Linked DNA regions of Elephas maximus indicus. The protein of the gene in region 1 purifies or fractionates together with the protein of each later gene. This does not show direct contact. Links are inferred from orthologs where the notes say so. Each region holds a gene or a part of one and is shown on either strand. Other genes may lie near its edges.

Evidence for each region.
Region 2: the proteins of EIF2AK2 (region 1) and STAU2 purify together in Homo sapiens (affinity purification with mass spectrometry; 3 studies listed by BioGRID and IntAct, with this or other methods). This does not show direct contact. The link is inferred for Elephas maximus indicus from reciprocal best matches to the Homo sapiens genes EIF2AK2 and STAU2.
Region 3: the proteins of EIF2AK2 (region 1) and ZNF346 purify together in Homo sapiens (affinity purification with mass spectrometry; 3 studies listed by BioGRID and IntAct, with this or other methods). This does not show direct contact. The link is inferred for Elephas maximus indicus from reciprocal best matches to the Homo sapiens genes EIF2AK2 and ZNF346.
Region 4: the proteins of EIF2AK2 (region 1) and ADAR purify together in Homo sapiens (affinity purification with mass spectrometry; 3 studies listed by BioGRID and IntAct, with this or other methods). This does not show direct contact. The link is inferred for Elephas maximus indicus from reciprocal best matches to the Homo sapiens genes EIF2AK2 and ADAR.

What each region holds. Positions count from the first base shown.
Region 1 is NC_064844.1:27,162,868-27,170,582, reverse strand, and holds the start of EIF2AK2 (interferon-induced, double-stranded RNA-activated protein kinase), read right to left. Parts: upstream 3,001-7,715; 5' UTR 2,703-3,000; intron 390-2,702; exon of another isoform or gene 237-389; intron 1-236.
Region 2 is NC_064833.1:68,282,229-68,289,915, reverse strand, and holds the start of STAU2 (double-stranded RNA-binding protein Staufen homolog 2), read right to left. Parts: upstream 3,017-7,687; 5' UTR 2,965-3,016; coding exon of another isoform or gene 2,947-2,964; intron 239-2,946; 5' UTR 190-238; coding exon of another isoform or gene 184-189; intron 1-183. UniProt on the Homo sapiens protein: RNA-binding protein required for the microtubule-dependent transport of neuronal RNA from the cell body to the dendrite.
Region 3 is NC_064820.1:197,308,997-197,315,961, reverse strand, and holds the start of ZNF346 (zinc finger protein 346), read right to left. Parts: upstream 3,026-6,965; 5' UTR 2,987-3,025; coding exon 2,833-2,986; intron 2,737-2,832; exon of another isoform or gene 2,546-2,736; intron 1-2,545.
Region 4 is NC_064821.1:192,457,844-192,465,117, forward strand, and holds the start of ADAR (double-stranded RNA-specific adenosine deaminase), read right to left. Parts: upstream 3,001-7,274; 5' UTR 2,771-3,000; coding exon 2,741-2,770; intron 1-2,740. UniProt on the Homo sapiens protein: Catalyzes the hydrolytic deamination of adenosine to inosine in double-stranded RNA (dsRNA) referred to as A-to-I RNA editing.

The DNA.
Region 1 (7,715 bases):
GTCTTTTGCAACAGATTTGCCCAAGGCGACACGTCATGTGATTTCCTGACTGCTGCGTCCATGGGTGTTGATTGTGGATCCAAGTAAAATGAAACCCTTGACTTCAATCTTTTCTCCATTTATCATGATGTTGCTTATTGCTCCAGAATAACATGGTCAGTACCCAGCTGTTATTCTAATTGCAGTAGGAAGCCACTGGAGGGCTCTAAGAAGAGGGGTGATGTGATCTGACTTACGTTTTTGACTGATCTCTCTGATGCTGGTGAAGAACAGAGTATGGGCGTGGGGCATGAACATGAGTAGAAGTAAGGAGACCACGTGAGGCTCCTGCAGTGGTTTAGGTGACAGACAGTGGTAGCTGGAAGCAGGGCACTGGAAGTCCCTAGAGTCTGAGAAAAGGAAGCACATTCACATTACAGCCTGGAATTGGAGAAAGAGCTTAGGCATTAGAGCGACACAGACCTGGACTAGACACCTCTGTGGGCCTTTGACTCATGATCTGAAAACAGGAATAAAAATGCCTGATTCGCAAGATTGTCATGAGGAATAAGTCAGATATAAAGTCTTTAGCAGAATCCCCCACCCCACCCACATAACTGGCCTCAAAAGGGTATACCAGGTCTGCAATCCCAAACTCCAAATAGTTCTGATAACTAGGGGTTTTTGTTTGTTTATTGTTAATTTATTCATTTTGGTAGGTTTGGAGCTACCTGTGTTGACCTGAACAGTCATGAGCCATTTAGAGTCTCTATTATACTTTGTTACCTATATAACTTGTCACTGCAGAAATACTAATATGTTTTATTATGAGGTACCGCCCCAAATCCCTCCAAGGGCATTCTATAATAAGTAGTATTTACACTGCATTGCCTTTCTAAAATCCAAAAATCTCTGAATTCTGGAACAAATCTGGCCCAAGGGTTTTGAATAAGGGACTGTGAACTGCACCATTATTTTCAGGAACCAACGTGTCATTTAGTTAGTCACGACCATGAGGCCACATATCCAGCTGAAGGGGTCACAGATCTCAGAACTGCAGTGACAAGAGAGCCCCTGGCAATTATACTCTAAAGTCCTATAGAATGCTCCAAATCCTCAGTACAACCAGTTTGAACATGCGTGAACACATGAATGTATATGTAAACTAATAAAGTGCTGCACTGGTATGTTTGAAACAGTACTTTTGAGTTTGGAAGCAAGGAAATAGGTTTCTTTTTAATTATCTTTGACAAATCTGGTTTTAATTCTATGTTATCATTTTCAGAAAGGAGATCTCCACCATACTGACTAACAAATATTATCTGTCCCTCTTATTCATGTCCAGAAGTTTCTTTGGCTATGCCCACCTTCCCTGCCAGCAAACTGGGAGCCCTCCGTAGACCAGACCACCTCCAGAGTCTGCACAATGCTTGGCCTATAACATGCATTCAAATAATACCTAATTAATAAATGACTAAACTACAGGTTGAGTGTTATGGATCTTCTGGTTCAAAGAGGCAAAATGAAGAACAAGAGTATAATCTGTCCAAGATTAAATAGTTTCTAACTGACAGCTGAGAGTGTATCTTTTAGCTTCCATTCTGGCAAGGTGTTCTTAGCACTAAGGAGAACATGAGCAAGAGGATATCTCATTATTCTGGAATTCAAAAGAGAACTGATGAGTTACCATTCATTTAACAAATATTTATTGAGCATCTATTATGTACCTGGCACTGAGGTTATGCCAGTGAAAAAAACACATAAGTCCCTGCTCTTGTGGACTTATTTACTAGTAGAGGAACAGATAATAAACTTATAATAAGTATCAGAGTGTGATAAGTTCTATGGTGAAAAACAAAGCAGAGTAAGGGAGACAGAAGAGTAAGAGTGACAGAGTAAGCCAGCAGGAGAGAGAGGGGGATAAGACGGGCAGGGTGGTGGTGTTTTCATACAGTGTTCAGGGAAGGCCTCTCTGACAAGGTGGCATTTGAGGAAGCACAGGATGAAGCTAGGAGCTGGTCCATGCAGGTATGGGGCGGGGAGGGGCGAAAGCGGAAACAGTGCAAAGACCCAAACGCAGCAGTGTAACAGCGAGGACGCTGTGTGGAGGGAGCGAGAGGGCTCGTTTGTGGGCCCTGACAAGGCCTGAAGACAGGATTCTTATGAGAAGGGAAGCCAGTGGGGGAGTACCTGGCAGGTGAGAGTTGGCTCTGATTTACAGAACACTCTGATAGCGGTGTTGAGAAGAGGTAGCGGGTCAGGTAGAGGCGGAGCAGGTGCCGGGCTAGCGGGTGGGACACCACCGTGACTGTCTAAGCAGGAGATTTCTACCCACGGACTATTAATCAAGCTGTGGCTACTTCAGGCCTCCACACATTCCCCATGTCAAGTCGTTGGGCCTATCCTCACCCCCTCCGCCGGCCTGGGAGCGATGTATGAATCGCTCTGATAAAAATTCTCACCGCGCTCCACGACCCTCAGCCCACATCCGGGAAGGGCCCCGCACAACCGCGGCGGGGCTCTGACCGCTCTCCCGGCGCTGGCTCCGGGGGCCTCGTACCAGGGTCTGCATTCCCGGCGGGGTCGCGGGATCGGCGCGCGCCTCCGCCCAGCCGCCGGGCCGGGCCGCCGGGCCGGGCCCCCCGCCTGTCCCCGCGCTCGCCCCGCTGTCCGCCTGCCCGGCCGCCCCCGCGCTCGCCCCGTGCCCGCTGCTCCGGCCTTACCGCCTGACGACTCCGCTCAGCCCGCGCTGCTGCTGTCCGCTGAAGCTCTGCGGTGTCTGAACAGCTTGCTCTCAGTTTCGTTTTCCCGGCGAACCCCGCCTTCCTCTGCGGCGGCCTAGCCAGCCGCGTGCCCGCACACGTCCGCATGAGTTCCGGGCTGGGGGAGATTGGCGCCTCCACCCGCAGGCTTGCGGGGGACGCCGCGGGGCGGGCTGGGCAGCAGGGGCAGCCCCAGTGTGGAGAGAAGGCCTCCAGGCAAAGGGGAGGACGCAAGGTCCCCAGGCGCCAGCAGCGGTGCCAGGCACTCGTCTGGGATCAGAGATCCCAGTTAACTCCTCCACGCAAACATTTTGGCTGGCTTTGGTGGCGGTGGGCAAGTGGATATTATCAGCTCCATTTTACAGTAGAAGAAACTGTAAATTAACACCCCGGGGTCCTGCCGCTGGTAAGTGGCGACGCCAGAGTGCAATTCAAATCCAGGCCAGTAAACCTCAAAGCACCCCTTTCCAACACTACTGGCTCTCTCTCATGCCTACAAAGCTGGAAATGAAGAGGCCTGGGGACATAATTTCCCTTCAGTCTGTTTCCACTCATCCTTCCAGGGACTGATTACCCGATATGCAAGGTAAGCACATGTTTAGGATGTCAACAAAACAGGGGCACCAGGTGTCCAAAGCAAAGACCCGTAGATGCCAAGCGACAGGACATACAGAAAAGCGAGCGCAGCAGTGGAAGGGAACCAGCAGGGCGCCAGCTCCAGGGCATGAGACTGTGCCAGTCAGTTCACACAGCGTCATGAGGGAGCCGCACACGTGGCAAGGCTGTTTAAATTATGAGGTTTCGTTTTGTTTTTGTTTTTGTTCCACTTAAACACCTTCTTGACATCTTTCTCTTTCAGAAGCAGTTGGGTTTTTTCCTACTGTTCAGTTACCCTATACATTCTTTGTCACCTCTACTCACTGATGGGCGATTCTTAAAACATATTTAGGCGATGATGGAGTATTAAAATGTCTTTCTAATACGCATTGGGAAGCACATGCTGTAGCAACAGGTACAATCTTGGAATCGTACATTTATATTCTAGACGCTTTAGAAAATATTGCTGAAGACTAGACACAAAAAGGAGCTACCAAAAGAGAAGCTGAAACATTGCTAACAAAATGCAAACCCAGGCATACTTCCTTGTATTGCGCTTCTCAGATATAGCATTTTTTTTTTTTTTTTACAAATTAAAAGTTCGTAGCAACACAGCATTGAGCAAGTCTGTCGCCACCATTTTTCCAATAGCACGTGCTCACTTTGCGTCTCTGTGTCACATTTTGGTAATTCTTGCAATATTTCAAACTTCTTCATTATTTTATATCTGTTATGATGGTCTTTGATGTTACTAGTGTAATTGTTTTGGGGTGCTACCATCTGTACCCATATAAGATGGCGAACTTAATGGATAAATGTTGTGTGCTCTCCACCAGCCATTACCCATCTCTCCCTCTCCTCAGGCCTTCCTATTCCCTAAGACTTGACAATATTGAAATTAGGCCAATTAATAACCCTACAGTGGCCTCTAAGTGTTCAAGCGAAAGGAAGATTCAGATGTCTCTCACTTTAAATCAAAAGCTAGAAATGATCAAGCTTAGTGAGGAAGGCATGTTGAAAGCTGAGATAGGCCAAAAACTAGGCCTCTTGCACCAAACAGTCAAGTTATGAATGCAAAGGAAAAGTTCTTGAAGGAGATTAAAAGTGCTACTCCAATATCCAGACACCTTGAGGGACTAAGTTGCTGGGGCTGGGGCTGGAGACCATGGTCTCGGGGGACATCTAGGTCAATCGGTATAACACAGTTCATAAAGAAAATGTTCTACATCCTACTTTGGTGAGTAGCGTCTGGGTCTTAAAAGCTTGTGAGCAGTAATCTATTGGTCCTATCCCATCCAGAGCAAAGGAAAATGAGAAAAAAAAACAAAAAACAAAGACACAAGGAAAATATTAACCCAAAGGATGAAAGGACCACATGAACCAAAATCTCCACCAGCCTGAGCCCAGAAGAACTAGATGGTGCCCAGCTACCACCAGCAACCACTCTGACAGGGATCACAACAGAGAGTTCCGGACACAGTGGAGAGAAAAGTGTGGAACAAAATTCAAACCCATGAAAAAAGACCAGACTTACTGGTCTGACAGACACTGGAGGAGCCTCCAAGACTACGGCCCCTGGACACTCTGTTAACTCAGAACTGAGACAACTCCTGAAGCCCACTTTTCAGACAAAGATTAAACCAAAAACCAAACTTGTTGCCATTGAGTCGATTCTGACTCATAGCGACCCTGTAGGACAGAGTAGAACTACCCCATACGGTTTCCAAGGAGCACCTGGTGGATTTGAACTGCTGACCTTTTTTTGGTAAGCAGCTGTAGCTCTTAGATTAGACAGGCCTATAAAACAAACAATAACATATGTAAGGAACGTGCTTCTTAGTTCAGATACCTGAGACCAAATGGGCAACACCAGTCCAAAAGCAAGATGAGAAGGCAGAAAGGGACAAAAAAAACGGACAAATAACACAAGGAACCCGAGGTGGAAAGGGGGAAAGTGTTGTCACTTGTGACAAAACATCAGAATGTCACAAAACAATATATGTATACATTTTTGAATAAGGACCTGAAATGAGCTGTAAACTTTCAGCTAAAGCATACACACACACACACACACACACAAAAACTCTCTAAAGCTAAAAAAGAAAATAACCGCCCCCCCCCCCCAAAAAAGTGCTACTCCAGTGAACACATGAAGGCGAAACAGCCTTATTGCTGATATGGAGAAAGTTTTAGTGGTCTGGATAGAAGAGCAAACCAGCCACAAAATTCCCTTAAGCCAAAGCCTAATCCAGAGCAAGGCCCTAACTCTCTTCAATTCTATGGAGGCTGAGAGAGGTGAGGAAGCTGCAGAAGAAAAGTCTGAAGCTAGCAGAGGTTGGTTCATGGGTTTAAGGAAAGAAGCCATTTCCATAACATAAAAGTGCAAGGTGAAGCAGCAAAGACTGTTGAAGAAGCTGCAGCAAGTTATCCAGAAGACCTAGCTAAGATAATTGATGAAGGCGGCGACACTAAACAACAGATTTTCAGTGTCGACATAGCAGCCTTGTATTGGAAGAAGATGCCCTATAGGACTTCCATAGCTAGAGAGGAGAAGCCAACGCTTGGCTTCAAAGCATAAAAGGGCAGGCTGACATTTTTGTTAGGGGCTAAAGCAGCTGGTGACTTTAAGTTGAAGCCAATATTCTTTTACCATTCTGAAAATCCTAGGGCCCTTAAGAATTATGCTAAGTCAACTCAGCCTGTGCTTTATAATGGAACAACAAAGCCTGGATGACAGCACATCTGTTTACAACATGGTTTACTAATATTTTAAGTCCACTGTTGAGACCTACTGCTCAGAAAAAAAGATTCCTTTTGAAATATTACTGCTCATTGACAATGCACCTGGTCACCCAAGAGCTCTGATGAATATGTACAAGGAGATTAATGTTATTTTCATGTCTGCTAACGAAACATCCATTCTGCAGCCTATGGATCAAAGAGTAATTTTGACATTCAGGTCTTATTACTTAAGAAATGTATTTCATAAGGCTGTATAGCTGCTCTAGATAGTGATTCCTAAGATGGATCTGGGCAAAGTAAATTGAAAACCTTCTGGAAAGGATTCTCCATTCTAGATGCCATTAAGAACATTCATGATTCATGGAAGGAGATCAAAATATCAACATTAACAGGAGTTTGGAAGAAGTTGATTCCAACCCCTGGATGACTTTGAGGGGTTCAAGACTTCAGTGGAGGAAGTAAGTAACTACAGATGTGGTGGATATAGCAAGAGAACTAGAATGAGAAATGGAACCTGAAGATGTGACTGAATTGCTGTAATCTCATAAAACTTTAGTGGTTGCGGAGCTGTTTCTTATGGATAAGCAAAGAAAGTGATTTCTGAAGATGGAATCTGCTACTGGTGTAGATGCTGTGACCATTGTTGAAAACAAAGGATTTAGACTGTTACATAGACTTAGTAAAGCAGCAGCAGGGTTTGAGAGGGTTGTCTTCAGTTTTGAAAGTTCTACTGTTGCAAAACTGTTGTGGCTCCTATAGGACAGAGTAAAACTGCTCCATAGGGTTTCCAGGGAGTGGCTATTGGATTCGAACTGTTGACCTTTTGGTTAGCAGCCAAGCTCTTAACTACTGCACCACCAGGGATCCTAATAGACTAAAAAGAAAAAAAAGACTACAGTATAAACATAACTCTTATTTTTATTGTGATTTAGGTGGAAGTTTATAGCTCAAGTTAATTTCTTATACAAAAATTTATACACATATTGTTATGTGACATTAGTTGCAATCCCTATAATGTGACAGCACACTCCCCCTTTCTACCCCAGCTTTCTTGTGTCCATTCAACCAGTTTCTGTCCCTTCCTGCTTTTTCATCCTGCCTCCCCCCATTTGGTTTAGTGTATGATTGAACCAAGAAGTACACTCTTCATGAGTATTATTTTATGTTTTATAACCTAGTCTAATCTTTATCTGAAGAGTGGGCTTTGGGAATTTTTTTTTAATTTCACTTTTTTTTTTTATTGTACTTTAGATGAAGGTTTACAGAACAAACTAGCTTCTCTTTAAACAGTTAGTACACACATTGTTTTATGACATTGGTTAACAACCCCATGACATGTCAACACTCTCCCTTCTCAAACTCGGGTTCCCTATTACCAGTTTTCCTGTCCCCTCTTGCCTTCTAGTCCTTGCCCCAGGGCTGGTGTGCCCATTTAGTCTCGTTTTGTTTTGTGGGCCTCTCTAATCTTTGGCTGAAGGGTGAACCTCAGGAGTGACTTTATTACTGAGCTAAAAGGGTGCCTGGGGGCCTTACTCTCAGGGTTTCTCCAGTCTCTGTCAGACTGGAGAAGTCTGGTCTTATTTTGTGAATTAGAATTTTGTCCTGCACTTTTCTCCAGCTCTGTCTGGAACCCTC
Region 2 (7,687 bases), on another chromosome or scaffold:
TGCATATACGTAAAAATAAATTCACCGTGGCACTAACAATAGTATTAAAATCTGTGCAACAATAAGTGGTCGGTTAAATAAATTTTAGTACTACTAAACTATGAATTATTAAATCATTTCAGAAAATTATGTACTGTATAATCCCAGCTTTTTTTAATAACATATATTCACAGAAAAACATACCTGCATAGAAAAAATTCTAGAAGTATACACCCCAAAATGTTAGCAGTGATTATCTCTGTAAAAAAATAGTGGAATTATTTGATTTTTTTCTTTTTGCTTTATCAAAAGCACCTAATTTTTCTATAGTAAGCTGGCCTGTACATGGATAATGACATACATTCTTAATAGGCAAAAGCAAAATCGAGGATCACAATTTAAAGGTAAAAGTGCCACCATCCTAACAGAACAGGGAACATTCCCATGTTCCATAATAATGGTGTCAGACAGAGATAACATCAAACAAGACATCAACTTAGTATTCACTAGTCATTTTTAAGTAATTCTAGGAACATATATGGAAGAATCTGTTAATACTGGCATTGTAAGACAACAAAACAAAAGACCTCCCAAATTAAAATTCAGTACTATTTCTAAAGACAGTACTGAAAATCACACAGTAACAAATCTCAACTGTTGCCAGATGAGACCAAAAAAACTGCTGCCGTCGAGTCCATTCCGACTCATGGTGACCCTACAGGACAGAGTACAACTGCCCCACACAGTTTCCAAGAGGCAGCCGGTAGATTCGAAATGCCAACCTTTTGATTAGCAGCTGTAGCTCTTAACCACTACACCACTAGAGTGTCCTTCAAGTTGAGGGTCAGCTTAAATCACTTTTTCATGCCTTTTCACAATTATCTTGAGAACCCTCACTCTCATGAGGGATGAAACATATAGTCAGTAAAAAGACAGATTCCTTAAGTCATTCTAGAAATGCATATTATAAGCAATGTGTGCACATATCCAGGCACTACGTACAATTTCTAGCAAAGCTCAGGGAACTGCCTATGGCCATGCAGAATGCTGCCTAGGAACTGTTTGCCTGCTTCAATGTGACCTGTAACCTAGCCAGTTAGTAAATCTCCACTAGGACAAATCCATAAACTATAATTTTCAATGAACTGACTGGCATAAAATGAATGACCATTTCAAACTGTTTATGACAAAAAAAAAAATCAAACAAATGGTTCTACTTGTACCCATGTAATTATTTTGCAGTAACTTCACACCTATACAATACGGCTTGCATGTCATGTGTTATAAGCACCATACCCCTTGAAACCCATTGCCATTGAGCTGATTCCAACTCACAGCAACCCTGTAAGACAGAGTAAAACTGCCCCACAGGGTTTCCAAAGAGCAGCTGGTAAATCTGAACTGCTGACCTTTTAGTTACCAGCTGAGATCTTAACCACTGTTGCCACCAGGGCTCAACAAGTCCCATAGATGCTTCCAATAGGATTTAATAGCTGCTGTGAAGGTACAAGAAGCACTGAGCACACACAGTACAGCTTTAAGATTCCTTTAAGCCCGTATTAGCAATATCTTTGATGAAAGCAATATTGTTGCAGAAGAAAATTTTCTAGTAGAAGGAGAAAAATCAAAGAACTTCGCATAAGGGAGAGAGTTAATGTTAACAGTATTTGTATAAAGCAAATGTCACATAGTACCAAAACTGACAACACAACTCTGGTTATTGTTGAAAAAATGGAGATCTCCTTGCTTTACTGATAAGCCTAGCACCATTCCGCAAATTCAGGAAAACTATATCCAAAAACTGGACTAGGCCTGGGGACATAAGAGTAAACAAGCAAAGTCCCTGCTTTCGTGGAGCATACAAATCTAACACAGGAGACAGACATATTTAACGTATTTGAACGTAACTGCATATTCCATATGTGATGAAATAAAAAGGCGGGGTGATACAAGGGCATTTACTATCCTAGGTTTCGAGAATGGCTCCCTATAGAAGTGAGCCAAGCACAGGCAAGAGGAAGAGAGGTCCAGGCAGGAGTCATCTCCTGTGCAAAGGCCATGCAGCCGCAACAACCTTGGTCCAATCTAGGTTCTAAAACAGTCCAGTGTAACTAAAGCATTTACGTAGACTGTTTCTTAGCAAACATTAAGTGTGAGACGTATAAAGACATCCAAATTAAGAGATCAAGTTGGTAACTGCGATGTGAGTCTCGAGCTCAGAAGAGAAGGTCTAGACGAAATATAAACTTAGAAGTCACTGGCTTACAGATAGTGTGTGACACACAGGAACTGCGATTTAGACAAGGTGAACGAGATTGGGGGCGGAGGATTATTTCCTCAGATTACAGGGGGAAAAATTAATCACTTCTCTCTTGATTTGCAATCAAAGAAATAAAAGTATTTTCTAACATTATAGTTATGATATAATGGCATATTTATTCAGAAAGGATAAAATTAAATATATAAAGTTCTTGGAGAACTGCTAAGCCCTAAAACGATACTTCTTCCATTGAGTCTAAGGTATATCATATTATACAGTTTATTTAGCAGAGCATTTCCTTCTAGCCTTTTCTAGTGCCCTAGAAAAGGAAACTCTTTTTACCCACTGATACAACTACTTCACAAGATTTGTCACTAGAAATGCTTCCAGCCTGCAGAATTGGCACCTGCTAAAGCTGTATCACTATCACAGGCATTCTGAACACACCAACGAGTCCCACAAGAATGTGACCTCAAAAAGAATAAAACTTCTGCTCGCACACTCAAAAGTTAACATCTTTCAAGACCATCACTACAATCCTAAAACAGCCTGCCCTGTCCTGTATAGTCTCCTATGATGAAGATATGGTATGTAATTGCTCTAAAAAGCGGTGGTCAGGTTTGAGTTATAGAAAAGCTGAATTAAAATATTCTACAGTTTATGGCCAAAGCACCATATAAGCATGGCATGCCTTAATACAAACTCACCTGATTTATTTGAAGCATGTTAAGACAATATTGACCAAACTGCTATACCCCTCACGGCTCCAAAAACTGGAAAGTGAAAATGAAGAAATAAAGTTCAACTTAGTCAGTGACCTCAATGATTAGCATTTTAAACACATGCCCTTGATCAAAATCAAATATAAAATGGGAGTTGATACAGATCAGTATAGAACTTTCAATGATGATGGAAATAGTCTATATCTGTACTGTCCAACCGAGTAGTCACTAGCGACATGTGGCTACTGCGTTCTTGAAATGTGGCTCCCGCAACCAAAAAAGTAAATTTTTTAATTTATTTAATCTGAATTTGTTTAAATTTAAACAATATAAAGTATGTGGTTAGTGGCTACCATACCGAACAGTGCAGATTTAAATTGAACAAAGCCCCTTCTACCTCTAGAGTTTTAAAACCCAGCAAGAGTGAAGCTATTAAAAAAAAAAATCTTAAAATTTAGTGTAAACTCCCCTTGCTCTAGTTAGGTTTGAAACAACGTTGTTCCCATTCTCTATAAGACAAATTAAGCCTGAAGAAGATGCAACACCCGCAATGTTCTCTTTTTTAAAGAGCACATATAGTAAGATTACCTAGCTAGATTTTCTTTTCTTTTTCTCTAACTGTATACTTCTACTATTGTTATTTATAAAAATAGCATGCACATTAAAATTCAACACAAAATTTTCACCAAAAAATCACCCATAGTCTCACCACCCTGACATATATCCACTGTTACATCTGGGTTTGTTTCCTTCTGGGTCCAGCCCTTTCCTCCTGGTTTTATTTCTTTCCATGTGGTAAATCTCCTCTACACTTAACTCAGAAATACATGTTAAAGACGGGCAGGAAAACCCAAATCTTAAGTAAATAAAGTGTGTGCCCTTATAATAGGAAAAGTCTACACAAAATATAAATTATGTATAAATCCCCCAAAACATTATCTACAAAGCAACAACAGTCTTGATATACAGCAAAAGTGCTAAGTCCAAGCAACAAAGTATACATATTTATCACTGTGTAGAAATTTTTATGCTCTAAAATTTTCTCTTAGAAGCAAAGGTTCTTAAAATACTTGCGTGTGTGTGTGTGCCCATGCAAGAAATTTCAAGACATACACATACACACACACATATATATACATACATATCTGTATTACCACTTTCTGCAGATGACAAATTGGGGTCAATTCAAAACGACTATGCAGGCCCTCAGTATATTTCTTACAAGTGTCCTCTGTATCTGTATCAATTTTCATTTATTTTTTAATTATTTTCCCATTTTCTAATAGGAAGAGCACAAGGCATGGGTACCAGTGAATTTGAGTTTTAGTCCTAGCTCTTCAGGCAATTATGTCTTGAGCCTTGGTCACATTAACTTGTGTATCTGAGTTCTTAATCTTTCTCCTTGGTTTTTTATTTCTGTTTTGTTTAATCTTTAAAACGTAAAGTCCTTGTGGTAGGCAGCTCTAACGAATACAGTACAGCAGAAATAACGAGATACCACTTCCAAGATTAAATTATAAAAAGACTGTAACTTCCATCTTGGATACTCGCCCTTGCTTTTTCTGTTACTCACTCACTTGCTCTGAGGGAAGTTAGCAGCCATGTTGTGAGCTGCCCTCTGGTGAGACCCACGGGGCAAAGAACTCAGGGAGGCTTTCACAAACAGCCAGAAAGAAACTGAGGCCCTCAGTCCAACAGCCCACAAGCAGCTGAACGAATCCTGCCAATTGCCACATGAATGAGCTTCAGAGCGGACCTTCTGCCAGTAGAGCAGCAGATGAAACTGCAGCCCCAGCTAACAGCTTGACTCCAAACTCATAAGACCCTGAACCAGAAACACCCAGCTAGGCTCCACCCAGACTTCTAATTCACACAATAAATGTTGTTTTTAAGCCCTTAAATTCAGTAATAATTTATCATGCAGCAACAGTTAACTAAGACAATGCTGTTCAGCTCTATAATTGTATGTAATCCTACAGTGCTTTGTGCTGAAGCACTCACTCATCTATGCCAAGAAATGTAGAAGACAGCTACCTGGCCAACTGACTGGAAAAGATCCATATTTGTGCCCATTCCAAAGAAAGGTGATCCAATAGAGTGCGAAAATTATTGAACAGTGTCATTAATGTCACACACAAGTAAAATTATGCTGAAGATAAATTCAAAAACGGTTGCGGCAGTATATTGACAGGGAACTGCCAGAAATTCAACTCAGATTCAGAAGAGGACATGGAACGAGGGATATCACTGCTTATGTCAGGTAGATCTTGGCTGAAAGCAGAAAATACCAGAATGGTGTTTACCTGTGTTTTAATGACTATGCAAAAGCATTGGCTGCATGGATCATAACAAATTACAGATAATACTGCAAAGAATGAGAATTCCACAACACTTAACTGTGCTCATGCAGAAATGTACATAGACAAAAAGGCAGTTATTCAAACAGAACAAGAAGATACTGAGTGGTCTAAAATCAGGAAAAGTGTGTGTCAGGGTTGTATCTTTTCACCTTCCTTATGCAATCTGTATGCTGAGCAAATAATCCAAGAAGCTGGACTGTATGAAGAACACAGCATCAGGATTGGACGAAGACTCATTAACAATAACAACCTGCATTACGCAGATAACACAACTTTGCTTGCTGAAAGTAAAGAGAACGTGAAGCACTTACTGATGAAAATCAAAGACTACAGCCTTCAGTATGGATTACACCTCAACATGAAGAAAACAAAAATCCTCACAACTGGGCCCACGAGCAACATCATGGTAAAAAGAGAAAATACTGAAGTTGTCAAGGATTTCATTTTACTTGGATCCACAATCAACAACTATGGAAGCAGCAGTCAAGAAATCAAATGACGAACTCAAGAAAAATTTTAAACACAGAAGAAAATATCCTTTGATGATTACAAAGGTGGGGAGGGAGAGAGGGGTATTTACTAATTAGACCGTAAACAAGAAATATTTTAGGCGAGGGAAAGACAATACACAACACTGAGGAGGTCAGCACAACTGGACTAAACCAAAAGCAAAGAAGTTTCCTGAATACAACCAAACGCTTTGAAGGCAAGAGCAGCATGGACAGGGGTCTGGGGACCATGGTTTCAGGAGACATCTAGGTCAACTGGCACAACAAAATGTATTAAGAAAATGTTCTGCATCCCACTTCGGTGAGTGGCGTCTGGGGTCTTAATCACTAGCAAGCAGCCATCTAAGATCCATCGATTGGTCTCAACCCAAATGGAGCAATGGAAAATGAAGAACTCCAAAGAGACAAAGTAAGTATGAGCCCAAGAGACAGAAAGGGCCACATAAGCCAAGACTCCATCAGCCTGAGACCAGAAGAACTAGATGGTGCCCGGCTACCACCAACGACTGGACTGACGGGAAACACAACAGAGAATCCCTGACGGAGCAGAACAGTGGGATGCAGACCTCAAATTCTCATAAAAAGACCAGGCTTAATGGTCTGAAGCTGGAGGGACCCCAGAGGTCATGGCCCCTGGCCGCTCTGTTAGCCCAAGATTGGAACCATTTCCAAAGCCAACTCCTCAGACAGGGATTGGACTGGACTAAAAGACAGAAAATTATACTGGTTGAGGAGTGAGCTTCTTGACTCACATAAGACTATGTGGGCAGCTCCTGCCTAGAGGGGAGATAAGAAGGCAGGGGGGAACAGGACCTGGTTGAATGGACACAGGGAATACAGGGTGGAGAGGAGGAGTGTGCTGTCACATTAGAGGGAGAGCAGCTAGGATTACACAGCAAGATGTGTGTAAGTTTTTGTATGAACGACTGACTTGATTTGTAAACTTTCACTTAAAGCACAATTAAAACAAGAAAAAGAAAAATGTCGTATTGCATTGGGCAAATCTGCGGCAAAAGACCTCCCTGAAGTGTTAAGCACAGATGTCACCTTGAGGACTAAGGAGTGCCTGACCCAAGCCATGGTATTTTTAATCACCTCATACATATGTGAAAGCTGGACAATAAAGAGTAAGGAAGACCAAAGAATTGACGCCTCTGATTTATGGTGTTGACGAAGAATGACTGTACCATGGACTGCCATATGTCCTGGAAGAAGTACAGCCAGCATGCTCCTTAGAAGCAATGATGATGAGACTTCGTCTCATGTACTCTGGATGTGTTATCGGGAGGGAACAATCCCTGGAGAAGAACATCATGGTTGGTAAAGCAGAGGGTAGTGAAAAAGAAGACTCTCAACAAGATGGACTGACACAGTGGCTACAACAATGGGCTCAGAGCAACAACTGTGAGGATGGCACAAGACTGGGCAGTGTTTTGTTGTATTGTACACAGGGTAGCTATGAGTCGGAACTGACTTGACAGTCCCTAACAACAGTGCTTTAAGTATTAATGAACTTATTTCAACAAGCCAAAAAAATAAGTTTCCTGCTCAATCGGAGCAAATTAGTAACATTAAGAATTTGAAAGCCGTAAATTAAGAAACCTAAACATTTACATTTTCAATTCAAAATAGAGTGCAACATTATTCAAATGGTGTTAAAATATACTAGGTATAACTAACAATATAGACCCGACTGTCTCTTTTTTAATTGAAAATAATTTATTTGGAAGCTGAAGTGTGAATAAATCACTAAAAGCATTTCAGTGATTTATTTTTACTCTTTAGAATTCAACATTATTTAGATCTCAACAACTTTGAGAAACCCCTTTTGTTTTCACTTAATATAAGCCTCTAAAT
Region 3 (6,965 bases), on another chromosome or scaffold:
AGTTCTTAGATATGACACCAAAAGCATAATCCTAAGGGAAAATATTGATAAATTGAATTTCATCAAAATTTAAAATTTTTACACTTCAGAAGGCACCATTTAGAAAATGGAAAAAAAAAAAAAGCCACAGTTTGGGAGAAAATAAACTGCAAATCACATCCTTGCATCCAAATACATAAAGAACTCTTACAACTCAAAAATATGAAGACAAAAAACCCAATTACAAAATGAGCAAAAGGTTTGAATATATTTTTCACCAGAAAAGATATACAAATGGGAAATAAGCACATGAAATGAGGTTCAATATTTGTTGTCTTTACAAAGATGCAAATTAAAACCACAATGAGATATCACTACACATTCAGCAGAATAGCTATAATAAAGATAATGATAATAACAAGTGTGGGTGCAGATGTGGAGAAACTGGACCCCACATACATTGTGATGCCATTAACAATGTTTAATAATTTTAATATTAATAATTTTTATATCTTCCTGATGCATCGGCCCTTTTATCATTGACTACATGAGTTTAGACAACTGCAATGGAGTTTGCCGAACTGCAAAGTCTGAGAGAACAGACTGCAAGACTGCCCTACCTTCAGATACCACCTGCAAGTTCTGGGTACTCAGGGCCGTCCTCACTTTAGACCAGTTTGGCAGTTCCTCAAAATGTTCAAGAGAGTTACCATATGACCTAGCAATTCCACTCCTAGGTATACACCCAAGAGAAATGAAAACATATATCCACACAAAAACTCATACACAAATGTTGATACCAGAATTATTCACAATTAGACTCTGATGGTGCAAAGGGCGTGAGGGGTCCTAAAATCAAACTGGAAACAATCCAAATGTCCATCAACTAATGAATGGATAAACAAAATATGGTCTATCGATATAATGGATTCTATTCAGCATTAAAAAGAAATGAAGCAGTAATACATGCTACAACTTGGATGGACCTCAAAAACATGCTAAGGAGAAGATGCCAAATGCGAAGGACTACACATTGTATGATTCCAAAAGACAAATTATTTACAGAGACAGAAAACAGGCTAGTGGTTGCCCAAGGCAGGGGGGAGCCCTGGTGGCGTAGCGGTTAAGTGTTACTGCTGCTAATCAAAAAAAAGGTCGGCAGTTGAAATCCACCAGCCACTCCTTGGAAACCCTTTAGGGGAGTTCTACTCCATCCTATAGGGTAGCTATGAGTCGGAATTGGCTCACAACAACCGGTTTGGTGGTTTTTTTTTTTTAAGGCGGGGGTGGGAGTGAGAATTTACTGCAAAGGAGTGATGTGGAGTGATGGAAATTTTCTAGAACGGGATTGATGTAATGGTTACACAACTCTACACTTTTACTAAAATCATTGAATTGTACAATTACAATGGTGAATTTTATGGTATGTAAATTATAACTCAATAAAGCTGTTACAAAAACAACCAAAGTGAGTAGAAATTGGTGTAGCAGATTATCTACCTGGACCTTATACAAATACGGGAGAACTGACAATAGGAGGATGGACTGGGTCATAAGTAACACTGCACATTCATGCACACATACACAGTTCACTTTTCAGACCTAGTGCTTCAAGGTCCAGAGCACGCCCTCCCTTTCCCCCTAGACCAAAGGTCATTTCCTGTTTGTGCTCCCCCAAACTGCACCATTACACATTTTAAAACTGTTTTGGTGTCTGCTTGGTGGACTAGACTGCAGCCTCTCCAGGGCAAGGACAGTACCTTCCTCATCTTTGTAGTTCTGATGCCCAGCCACTGCTAGGAACAGAGCAGGCATGAGCCAATGTTTGTCAAATTAAAAGAAAATTAGGAGGGGAGTTACTTTGTACCAAACAAGTTTGAAAGCATGAGTTGGAACACAGAGATGCTACACATCTTAATTTGGAAGTCAGACTAAACTTGTTCTTAAACTGAAGAAGTACACACCAGGGTAGAGTCTGTGTATCACCTCAAATTTAAACATATCTGCCTTGGATAGGGTCAAAAATTTATGTTTATCTCAAAGCAATCAGTTCACAAACAATTCATTAAATTTTCTAAGATTAGTCTGCTCAGCAAGCAAACTATTAGAGAAACCTAATTTCCCTGCAGATACCTGGCGGGATTTGCACAGAAGCCCAGATGGTTTGAGTACAGCTGGGTAGAACTACCTAGCTGACGCTGCAGAGGGCGGTGGGCTCCAAAGAAGCTGGGGTCAAAGCAAATTTAAGCCAGTTTCTCAGGCTTCTGGCTCCCATCTCAGAAAAGGAACCCAGCAGTAGACGCTGGACATCTAGAAACAGGGGTAAGCCAGGGCTGTCGCCAAGGCCAGAAAGAACAAAAAGAGAAAGCAGATATTTTTCAGAGCCCTCGGAAGTGTGGGGGTTGAGAGGAGAAAGACGAGAGACACTAAGGGTGGGGGGACTGGGAACTGGGATGGTGGGGAGTCAGGGAGAGATGGTGAGGGGTACTCGGCTTCGCTGCAGGTATGTTGGGAAACGTCTAGGGAAGAGCGGCGCTCAGGTAGGTGAAGAGGGCGGGGACAAAACCTGTGGCCAGAGGGTGAGAAGGTCCTTGATGATTTGCACGCGGGGGCCTGAATCTTGGGGTGCCGCGGCCCTGATTTTCGGGGGAGGGGACTCACGGTGCCTCGGCCGTGGTGAGGAACACTAGCCCCGGAGTCACCGCGCGCGTCACGCGAGGGGGCGGGCCGGGCGCCAGGGGGTGTGACTGTGACCCGCGAGTGTGGTCCGCGGTCCGCCAGGCGCTCCCGCCACACACCTCGGGCCGAGCAGGCGGGTGACGGGCTTCTTGCCTCTGAGGCTCCTGGACTCACCTTCCTCCCTCCCCGCAGGTTGGGCCCCGGACACCGCTTCCCACAGGCGGCGCGCCCCGTCCGGTTCCCGGCCCTCCCGCTCCTCCGAGCTGTTGTACGGCCCGGCCCCTCCGCCGTCCGCGGCCTCCGCGGTGCCCAACGTGGGATATTCCATCTTTCCCGCAAGCCCAAACCGGCCGAGAGCCACTCACGCGCCTTGGTCTCGCGAGATGTGGGTCTAGGGCCACTATGCCCGGCCAACAAATCTCGCGAGGTTTGGGTGCCGCAGACCGCGTCGCGGCGCCCAGTGTGGCACCTTTATTCTGTGCTGCTACTGGAACCTGGGAGCATTGGTTGTCGGTAGGCAAGCCGGTGTCCGGGGCCACAGCAGCCTCTCTCTACGGGAAGGGCACGTGCGACCCGTGGCTCTGGGTCCTCACCTTGCCTACGGTCAGCCTTTAGCACTCGCATTTCTTTCTCACGAACGCCCTGTTATCTGGAAATATTTTCCCCACTTTACTGGTAGAGAAACTGAGGCCCAGAACCAGGAATTGGTTTAATCAAGAGTGCTACTAGGAAGTGGTAGAGCCGTGGCTTTATCTCCATGATTCGATTACTGCTAATATGTCGAGTTCCTCAGCCTAGACCTTCCCCTGAACTGCAGACTTCTACATCCAGTTGCCTACTTCTCCAACGTAACTGTCCAAATCCGAAATTTTATCTTCCAACCTCAGACCTGCTCCTCCTCTCATCTTCTGGAGCCACCAACTCTTGCCTAGATTATTGCAGTAGGCTCCTCACTGTTCTTTTTCTTGGCCATCAAGGACCCAGCAGTCCAGGGTTCCTCTTGTAGCAACGATCATAGTACTCCTCTGTGCAAATCCTCCAATGGCTGCCATCTCACACTTCATCAAAGCCAAAGTTCTTACCTTGACCAACATGGTCCTCCACAATCTGACTCCCTTACCCTCCCTGGCCTCATTTCCTTTGTTACTCAGCTTACACTTCCTTCATTTCTACCGGGATCACACTGGCCTCCTGGAATGCATTTCCCCCAGATGGTCTCAAGGCGCAATTCCCCGCTTCTTTCCCTGGCTACCCTACCTAAGAATTCTCTCCTTCCATGCTGAGGACCTGCGTTGGATTGCTGGCCAGTGCACCTCATGGTGCAACCACCCAGCTGTCAGTGTAGGCTTGTGTGTTGCTATGATGTTGAACAGGATTCAGTCCAGACTATGTCGGACTAGGAGGAAAGGCCTGGTGATCTACTTCTAAAGATTAGCCGATGAAAACTCCATAGAGCTCAATGGTCAGGGGTTGTGATGAGTCTGGGCTGACTTGATGGCAGCTAACAACAGCAACACTACCAAAAATTTCTCCCCTGGCTACCCTATCTCAAATTTTACCCCTTTATCCACACTTCATGTCCACCTTTCCTGCTTTTTTTTCTCCTTAACACATCATTATTAGACATAGTATATATTTTACTTTTTATCTTGTTTATTGTCTCCCCACTAAAAGGCAAGGCTCAAGGAAGAAAGGGTGTTTCTTTATTTTGTTCTCAGCTGAATCCTCATCACCTTGAAATAGAGCTTGGCCCAGAGCCTTGTTGTTAGGTGCCGTCAAATCGGCTCCAACTCATAGAGACGGCATGTACAACAGAACAAAACGTTGCCAGGTCCAGCATCATTCTCACAGTCGTTGCTATGTTTGAGCCCCTTGTTGCAGGCACTCTGTCAATCCATCTTGCTGAGGATCTTCCTCTTTTTTGCTGACCCTCTACCTTACCAGGCGTGATGTCCTTTTCCAGGGACTGGTCCCTGCTGATAACTTGTCCAAAATATGTGAGATGAAATCTCGCCATCTTCACCCCCAAGGAGGACTCTGGCTCTACTTCTAAGACAGGCTTGTTTGTTCTTCTGGTGTCCATGGTATATTCAATATTATTTGCCAATACCATAATTCAAAGGCATATGAATTCTTCTTTGGTCTTCCTTATTCATTATACAGCTTTTGCATGCATATGTTTTGTTCGTTATGCCGTCGAGTCGGTTACTACTCATAGTGACCCTATCTGTGTACAACAGAATAAAACACTGCCCAGTTCTGCGCCATCCTCACTATCATTGTTATGCTTGAGTCCATTGTTGCAGCCAGTGTGTCAATCCATCTCACTGAGGATCCTATTTTTCACTGACCCGCTAGCAAGTGTGATGTCTATCTCCAGGGACTGGTCCCTCCTAATGACATGTCCAAAGTATGTGAGATGAAGTCTTGCCATCCTTGCTTCTAGTGAGCATTCTGGCTATACTTTTTCCAAGACAGATTTGTTCATTCTTCTGGCAGTCCATGATGTATTCAACATTTTGGCTAACACCATAGTTAAAAGGCATCAGTAATTCTTCTGTCTTCCTTATTCATTGTCCAGCTTTCAAATGCATATGAGGCCATTGAAAATACCATGGCTTGGACCAGGCGCACCTTAGTCCTTAAAGTGACGTCTTTGCTTTTTAACACTTTAAAGAGGTCTTTTGCAGCAGATTTTCACAGTGCAATACATCGTTTGATTTCTTGACTGCCGCTTCCATGGGCATTGATTGTGGATCCAAGTAAAATGGAATCCTTGACAACTTCAATAGTTTCTCCATTTATCACGATGTTGCTTATTGTTATTGATCCAGTTGTGAGAACTTTTGTTTTCTTTATGTTGAGGTGTAATCCCTACTGAAGGCTGTGGTCTTTGATCTTCATTAGTAAGTGCTTCAAGTCCACATTCAGCAAGCAAGGTTGTGTCTAATGCATATTGCAGGTTGTTAATCTTCCTCCAATTCTGATGCCGCATTCCACTTTCTCAGATTATTTACTCAGCATACAGATTGAATAGGTATGGTGAAAGGATACAACCCTGACGTACACCTTTCCTGACTTTAAACCACACAGTGTCCCCTTGTTCTGTTAGAACAACTGCGTCTTGATCTATGTAGAGGCTCCTCATGAGCACAATTAAGTGTTCTAGACTTCCTGTTCTTCACAATGTTACCCATAATTTGTTATGATCCACACAGTCAAATGCCTTTGGATAGTCAATAAAACACATGTATTCTTTCTGGTATTCTCTGCTTTCGACCAAGATCCATCTGACATCAGCAATGATATCCCTTATTCCACATTATCTTCTGAATCTGGCTAGAATTTTTGGCAGTTCTCTGTTGATATACTGCTGCAACTGCTTTTGAATGATCTTCACCAAAATGTTTACTTGTATGTGATATTAATGATATTGTTTGATAATTTCTGCATTCTGCTGGATCACCTTTCTTTGGAATGGGTACAATTATAGATCTCTTCCAGTCAGTTGGCCAGGTATCTATCTTCCAAATGTCTTGGCTTGGGCTTCTTCCTTCAGTACCATTGATTCTTGATCATATGCTACCTCCTGAAATGGTTGGATGTCGACCAATTCTTTTTAGTGCAGTGATTCTGTATTTTCCTTCCATCTTCTTTTGATGCTTCCTGAGTTGTTTAGTATTTTCCCCATAGAATCCTTCACTATTCCAACTTGAGGCTTGAATTTTTTCTTCAGTTCTTTCAGATTGAGAAGCACCGAGTGTGTTCTTCCCTTTTGGTTTTCTATCTCCACGTCTTTGCACATTTCATTATAATACTCTACTTTGTCTTCTCAAGCTGCCCTTTGTAATCTTCCGTTCAGCCCTTTAATTCATCATTTCTTCATTTGCTTTAGCTACTCTGTTTTCAAAAGCAAGTTTCAGAGTCTTTTCTGATGTCCATTTTGGTCTTTCCTTTCTTCCCTGTCTTTTTAATGACCTCTTGCTTTCTTCACGTATGATGTTCTTGACGTCATTCCACAACTAGTCCAGTCTTCAGTCATTAATGTTCAATGAGTCAAATCTACTCTTGAGATAGTCTCTAAATTCAGGTGGGATATACTTAAGGTTGTACTTTGGCTCTAGTGAACTCATTCTAATTTTCTTCAACTTCAGCTTGAACTTGCATATGAGCAATTGATGATTTGTTCCACGGTCAGCCCCTGACCTTGTGCTGACAGATGATACTGAGTTTTTCCGTCATCTCTTTCCACAGATGTAATCAATTTGATTCCTGTGATTTCCATCTGGCGAGGTCCATGTGTATAT
Region 4 (7,274 bases), on another chromosome or scaffold:
CACACACACACACACATATATATATATATATTTTACTTCAAATTATGGCACACATAGATTGCAGTATATCTGAAAGGTGATTAACAATATTGATCCTAGAAATTATACTGAACTCTCTACTCCCAATACATGCAGTACTGATGGGGGGCTGCAATGGACTCCAGAGCGAGCCCTGCAGGGGCAAGGACTATGCTTCCACCACCTTTGCATCTCCAGCACCTGAGAGAACACCTGGTACAAAGTTGATCGTGAACCACCACTAGTGGCTGCATAAGCAGTCACATCTTGCCGCAGGCAGCACACCCCCCCATGACGCTGGGGGCAGAGCTGTGAGTGCGCAGAGTGAGTGCCCGGCTCACAAAGCTGAATTACTGCGACTATAGGGGTCTTCTGACTAGCTCTTTGAGTGGCCCTGGGAAAAAGAACTCTGTTTCAAAGTGTCTACAGTCATTTCTGAGTCGCCCTGGTGACGCAATGGTTAAGTATTTGGCTGCTAATCCAAAGGCTGGTGGTTCAAACTCACCCGTGGCTACAGAGCAGACTGACCTGATGATCTGCTCCTGTGAAGATTACAGCCTAGAAAATCCTACAGGGAAGTTCTACCCGGTAACACATGGAGCCGTTACAAACTGAAAATTGACTCAACAGCACTAAACAATGACAAAGCCAGTTTCTAGCTAATGCTTTCTAGATTTCAACTGGTACCACTTGGCTAAAACCTGGAAATACATGAATGTGCCTCTATAGAAAAGGAGTTGAAAATTATGATACATTCATGCTATGGAAGAGTATTCATGGTTTTTTTTAAGTATGTTAGATCTATTTGTACTAACCTGGAGGAAATTTAGGAATGATATAATGTTAAATGGAACAACAAAAACAGCAAGTTGCAGAGTAACATATATGTTATAACCTCTTTTTTTCTGGTAAAGAAAAGGAAAGAACCCATGAATGTGTGTGTATGTATGTCTCATAATGAACACAAAGAAACAGAAGAGGGGAAGGCACCATGAGTTTGTTAACAGTGGTTGTTTTAGGGAAGTAGGATTAGGGGAAGAGGGAATCATTAATATTTTCTTTACAGCCCCTAAACCCACTGCCACTGAGATGATTCCAACTCACAGCAACCCTGCAGGACAGAGCAGAACTGCCCCATGGAGTTTCCAAGGCTGTAAATCTTTATAGAAGCAGACTGCCACAACTTTCTCTCGCTTATGCCCCCAATACCCCCTAAAAGCCAAGCCAAACCAAACAAACCACCACATGAGAAAAGCCATCTGGATACACAGTGAATGCAGGTGAGAAGAAGAAAGTAGGAAATTCATGGTGATCATTCCTAAAGCTCTCAACAGCTCCCCTCTTCCACTCCACATCTATTTACTACGCAAACTAGGTGACCGTCATTTAACATTCAATGTCCACTCAATTTCACTTTAATTTGGTCTCACATATTTAGGATCAAGAGATGAGCCCCCATGGTTACCACACAGGCTCCAAATGGTATACATGAAGAAATTCTTTTCCTTCAATTTAGGCCCTGGTGGTGCAGTAGTCAGGACTACAGCTGCTAACAAAAAGGCTGGCAGTTTGAATCCACCAGCTACTTCTTGAAAACCCTATGGGGGCAGTTCTACTCTGTCCTATAGGGTCTCTGCCCTATAGGGTCGCTATGAGTCGGAATCGATGGCAATAGGAATTCTTTTAAGGAGTCCCTGGGTGCTGCAAATGGTTCATGCACGTGGCTGCTAACCAAAAAGTTGGGGGTTTGAGTCCACCCAGAGGTGCCTCAGAACAAAGGTCTGGCAATTTACTTCTGAAAAATCAGCCACTGAAAACCCTACGGAGCACTGTTCTACTCTGACATATTGGGTCACCATGAGTCAGCTTTTTAAAAACTATAAGAATAATTTACATACAGTAAAATTGACCTTTTTTAGTGTACAATTCTATGGGTTTTGGTAAGCACCTATAGCCTTAGAGCCACCGCCATAATTAAGACAGAGAACACTTCCATTTTCCCCACTTTGCTGTGGATTCCCTCCCCACCCCGCCCCGCCCCTGGCAACCACTGATCTGTTTTCTGTTCCCATCCCATAGCCAGCTCTGCTTTCTCCAAAACGTCTCGTAAATGGAATCACACAGTATGTAGCCTTTGGAGTCTGGCCCCTTTTGCTTAGCTACGACACTTGAGATTCATCCACGGTGTTGCCAATACAGTAGTCTGTTCCTTTTTATTGCTGAGCAGTACTCCATTTTTGTTTGGATGCTATCCCAGTTTATCACTTCAGCTGGTGAAGGACAATTAGTTTTTCCAGTTTTTAGTAATAATGAATAATGCTGCTATAAACTTTCTCCTACAGAGCTACTTATAATTTCCCCCAAACCCTTCAGGAGGTGGAAAAACAGGCAGGGGCAGCAAAGGGACCTAGAGACAATGAGAAGGGGGTGTTTGCTTTCACGTGACCTCAGGCTGGCTACTCAGACTTGGGCGCATTTTCCACACAAGCGCTCCTCCGCACTTCGCTCAATGCAGCAGAGTACTTAGCATGGTACAAATTCCTAGAACGGCAGTTTTACTCAGCAAGAAAAAGAGCAAAATGAAAACACTTTAAAACAACACGCATATGTCATGGACTAAAGCACCAAATTCACGTGATGTTTTAGGGCCAGTCCAAGGCTCCAGAGACAGGGTCCCCTTCTGGAGCGATCCCATGGGTCTGTGTGGCCGGTCGCCGCTCACCTGTCGCCAGATCACCTGTCGCGGGTCCATCACGCCGCCCCAGGCATCCCTTGCCTGCCAGCCGGCAGCACGACCCTCCTCCCCCGGGCTCAGCCTTGCAAACCTCTGGGAGCGGCAGCGGCCCGGGCTCCCAACTGCTGTTTCACGTAAGCAAGGGGCACCTGGGGGCCGTTGGGACAGGAAATACCTCTCGGGGCCAGCCCTGAGAGCAGGGCCGCAACTACGAAAATGGCTCCAGTTCAGTTTCGCTTTCGTTTCCTCAGAAAGACTTCCCCTTCGGAAAGTTTGGCCAAGAGGAGGAGTTTAGGCAAATCTAGTGTGAGCCCTCCGCTTTCACGGCGCCGGCGCCGATTACAGATCTGATCCCTTTCTTGCGTAAGAGTGGGGAACGTATTATTTCTTTAGGAAAACAGCTATAAATACAACTTCACTGAGCTCATAATTCCCCTCACAGCCCTCTCAGGAATACGTGGGATAAAGCAGAAGGAAAACAAAGACACAGTGAAGCCTCAGCACTGGAGAAGCAGCGTGAGGCTCTGCTCGCCGGTCTCCCTGTCGCGGCGTTAATGTGATGATGCCTCTCTCAAGGTAAAAGGGGGCGGGGAGCACAGCTCTTAAATGACTAAATGTCCCGGTCATAGACTATCTATTAACATTCCTAGCGTATTAGAAACTGAGGTAAAGGGATACCAGCCAGTAATAGTAAAAAAAAGTAGCAAGGTAATAATAACAGCAGTGTACAATTTGGGATCTATATTATAAAATTATCTCAGGCCACCAGCACGATTCATCTATTCAGGCAAGAGTTAAGTACTTTACATGCGTTATCGCATTTAGTCCTCACAACAGCTCTACTGGGGAGGCATTATTCCCATCTTACAGATGTGGAAACAGAGGCTTGCCTAAGGCCACACTGCTGTTACGTCCAGGTCAGACTGGGGAAAGCCTACCGTTCACCACCACTCTCCATTCGTCCCAGTTACACCATTGTTTAAAAAACAAAAACAAAAACTAGCGTTTAAATTATTTCAAATTCCATGTCATAATACCCACTTTTGTTTGTTATTTAGAGGAGAAAAATTCAATTTATTTCATGATCAGGTTTATATAACTGCTCTAGTTTGTTCAAGATGTTTAGGAAAAAATTCTACAGACAATCCCAGTTACCTGTGAGAAATTCATTTTTCTGTTTAATCTCAATTTTATCCCCACTGCCTATGAGGTTTACAAGGCAGTTCCTTCACAGCATCATCTGCAGCTGAGCCTTTCTCCACTGCCCTCTCATTCCTTCCACCCTGTTACCAACCAACCAACCAAGCAATCCCCACTGCCGTCTCATTTCATCTACCCAGTTACCAACCAACCAACCAATCTCCACTGCCCTCTCATTCCTTCCACCCTGTTACCAACCAACCAACCAAGCAATCCCCACTGCCGTCTCATTTCATCTACCCAGTTACCAACCAACCAACCAATCTCCACTGCCCTCTCATTCCTTCCACCCTGTTACCAACCAACCAACCAAGCAATCCCCACTGCCCTCTCATTTCATCTACCCAGTTACCAACCAACCAACCAATCTCCACTGCCCTCTCATTCCATCTACCCAGTTACCAACCAACCAATCTCCACTGCCCTCTCGTTCCATCTACCCAGTTATCAACCAACCAACCAATCACCACTGACCTCTCATTCCATCTACCGAGTTACCAACCAGTAGCCATGGAGCCAACCTGGTCTGTGTGGGAGGAGAGCTATGCTCCAGGAGGTTTTCAATGGATGTCATCTTTTGGAAGTGGATCGCCAGGCCTTTCTTCTGAGGTGCCTCTGGGTAGATTGAAACATCCACCTTTCGGTTAGTAGCTGAGCATGTAACCATTTGCACCACCCAGGAATCCAGTCCACCCTGTTAGTCATCCCAAATTTCAAATTTCTCAGTAGGCCATACTCTCTCCCTTTTGTGCCTTTGTCTGCCTGATTCCTTGGACTAGAAAATGTACTCCCTCTACTGCTTCTGGTGAGCTCCTAGTAGTCTTTCAAGACCTGCTTCAACTCTTACCTCCTAGTAAAGCCTTCTCCCCCTCTGGTAGGGGGTTCCTTATGTTGTGCTTCTCTGTTATTCAGCACTTACCCTTAACTAGAGCACCTACATATTCCACTGAAACTGCCTCATTCGATCATTTAACAAAACTTTATCAAGCATTGATGCAGAAAAGGCATTTGACACCCATTCATGATTAAAAGTCTCAGCCAAATAGGAATATAAGGAAAATTCTTCATCATAATAAAGGGCATTTATACAAAGCCAACAGCTAACATCATCCCACATGGAGAGTGTCTGAAAGTATTCCCCTTGAGAACGGGAACCAGAGAAGGATGTCCTTTATTACTACTCTTATTCAACATCGTGCTGTAGGTCCTAACCAGAGCAATTAGGCTAGAAAAAGAAATAAAGGGCACTCAGATTGTAAGGAAGAAGTAAAAGTATCTCTATTTGCAAATGACATGCTCTTATACACAGAAAACCCTAAAGAATCCTCAAGAAAACTACTGAAATAGAAGAGTTCAGCCGAGTATCAGGATATAAGATAAACATACAAAAATCAGTTGGATTCCTCTACACCAACAAAGAGAACATTGAAGAGGAAATCACGAAATCAATACCATTTATAATAGGCCCCAAGAAGATAAAATACTTAGGAATAAATCTAACCGGAGACGTAAAAGACCTATACAAAGAAAACTATTATAAGACACTACCGCAAGAAATCAAGAGACTTTACATAAGCGGAAAAACATACCTTGCTCATGGATAGGAAGACTCAACATGTAAAAATGTCTATTCTACCCAAAGCGATCTATAGATACAATGCAATCCTGATCCAAACACCAGCGACATTTTTTAATGAGATAAGAAACAAATCACCCACTTCAATGGAAGGGAAAGAGGCCCCAGATAACTAAGGCATTACTGAAAAAGAAGAACAAAGTGGGAGGCCTCATGCCACCTGATTTTAGAACATGTTATACCACCACAGTAGTCAAAACAGCCTGGTACTGGTACAACAACAGATACATAGACCAATGGAACAGAATTGAGAATCCAGACGTAAATCCATTCATATATGAACAGCTAATATTTGACAAAGACCCCGAAGTCTAAGTGGATATCCATCTGCAAAAAAATGAAACAAGACCCATACCTCACACCATGCACAAAAACTAACTCAAAATGGATCAAAGACCTAAATATAAAATCTAAAACAATAATGATCATGGAAGAAAACATAGGGACAATGCTAGGAGCCCTAACACATGGCATAAACAGTATACAAAACATTACTAACAATACACAAACACCAGGAGAGAAACTAGGTAACTGGGAGCTCCTAAAAATCCAATGCCTATGCTCATCCAAAGACTTCACCAAAAGAGTAAAAGATTACCTACAGACCGGGAAAAAGTTTTTGGCTATGACAATTCCGATCAGCGTCTGATCTCTAAAATCTACGTGATACTGCAAAAACTCAACAATAAAAAGACAACCCAATTAAAAAATGGGCAAAGGATATGAACAGGCACTTCACCAAAGAAGACATTCAAGCGGCTAACAGACACATGAGGAAATTCTCATGATCGTTAGCCATTAGAGAAATGCAAATCAAAACTACGAGATACCATCTCACCCGTGGCTGACATTAATCCAAAAAACACAAAATAATAAATGTTGGAGAGGTTGTGGAGAGACTGAAAACACTTATACACTGCTGGTGGGAATATGAAATGGTACATCCACTGGAAATTGATCTGGTACTTCCTTAAAAAGCTAGAGCTAGAACTACCATACGATCCAGCAATTCCACTCCTTGGAATATATCCTAGAGAAATAAGAGCCTTCACACAAACAGATATATGCACACCCATGTTCACTGCAGCACTGTTTACAATAGCAAAAAGATGGAAGCAAACAAGGTGCCCATCAACATATGAATGGATAAATAAATTATGGTATATTCACATAATGGAATACTACGCAATGATTAAGAACAATGATGAATCCATGAAACATAACATGGAGGAATCTGGAAGGCATTATGCTGAGTGAAATGTCAATTGCAAAAGGACAAATATTACATGAGACCACTATTATAGGAACTCAAGAAGAAGTTTAAACACAGAAGAAAATATTCTTTGATGGTTACAAGGGTTGGGGGGGCGAGAGAGAGGGGTATTCACTAATTAGATAGACAAGAACTATTTTAAGTGAAGGGAAAGACAACACACAAATACAGGAGAGGTCAGCACAACTGGACTAAACCAAAAGCAAAAGAAGTTTCCTGAATACAACCGAACGCTTTGAAAGCCAGAGCAGCCGGGGCAGGGGTTTGGGGACCAAAGTTTCAGGGGACATCTAGGTCAATTGGCATAATAAAATCTGTTAAGAAAACATTCTGCATCCCACTTCGGTGAGTGGGGTCTGGGGTCTTAAATGCTAGCAAGTGGCCATCTGGGATGCATCAATTGGTCTCAATCC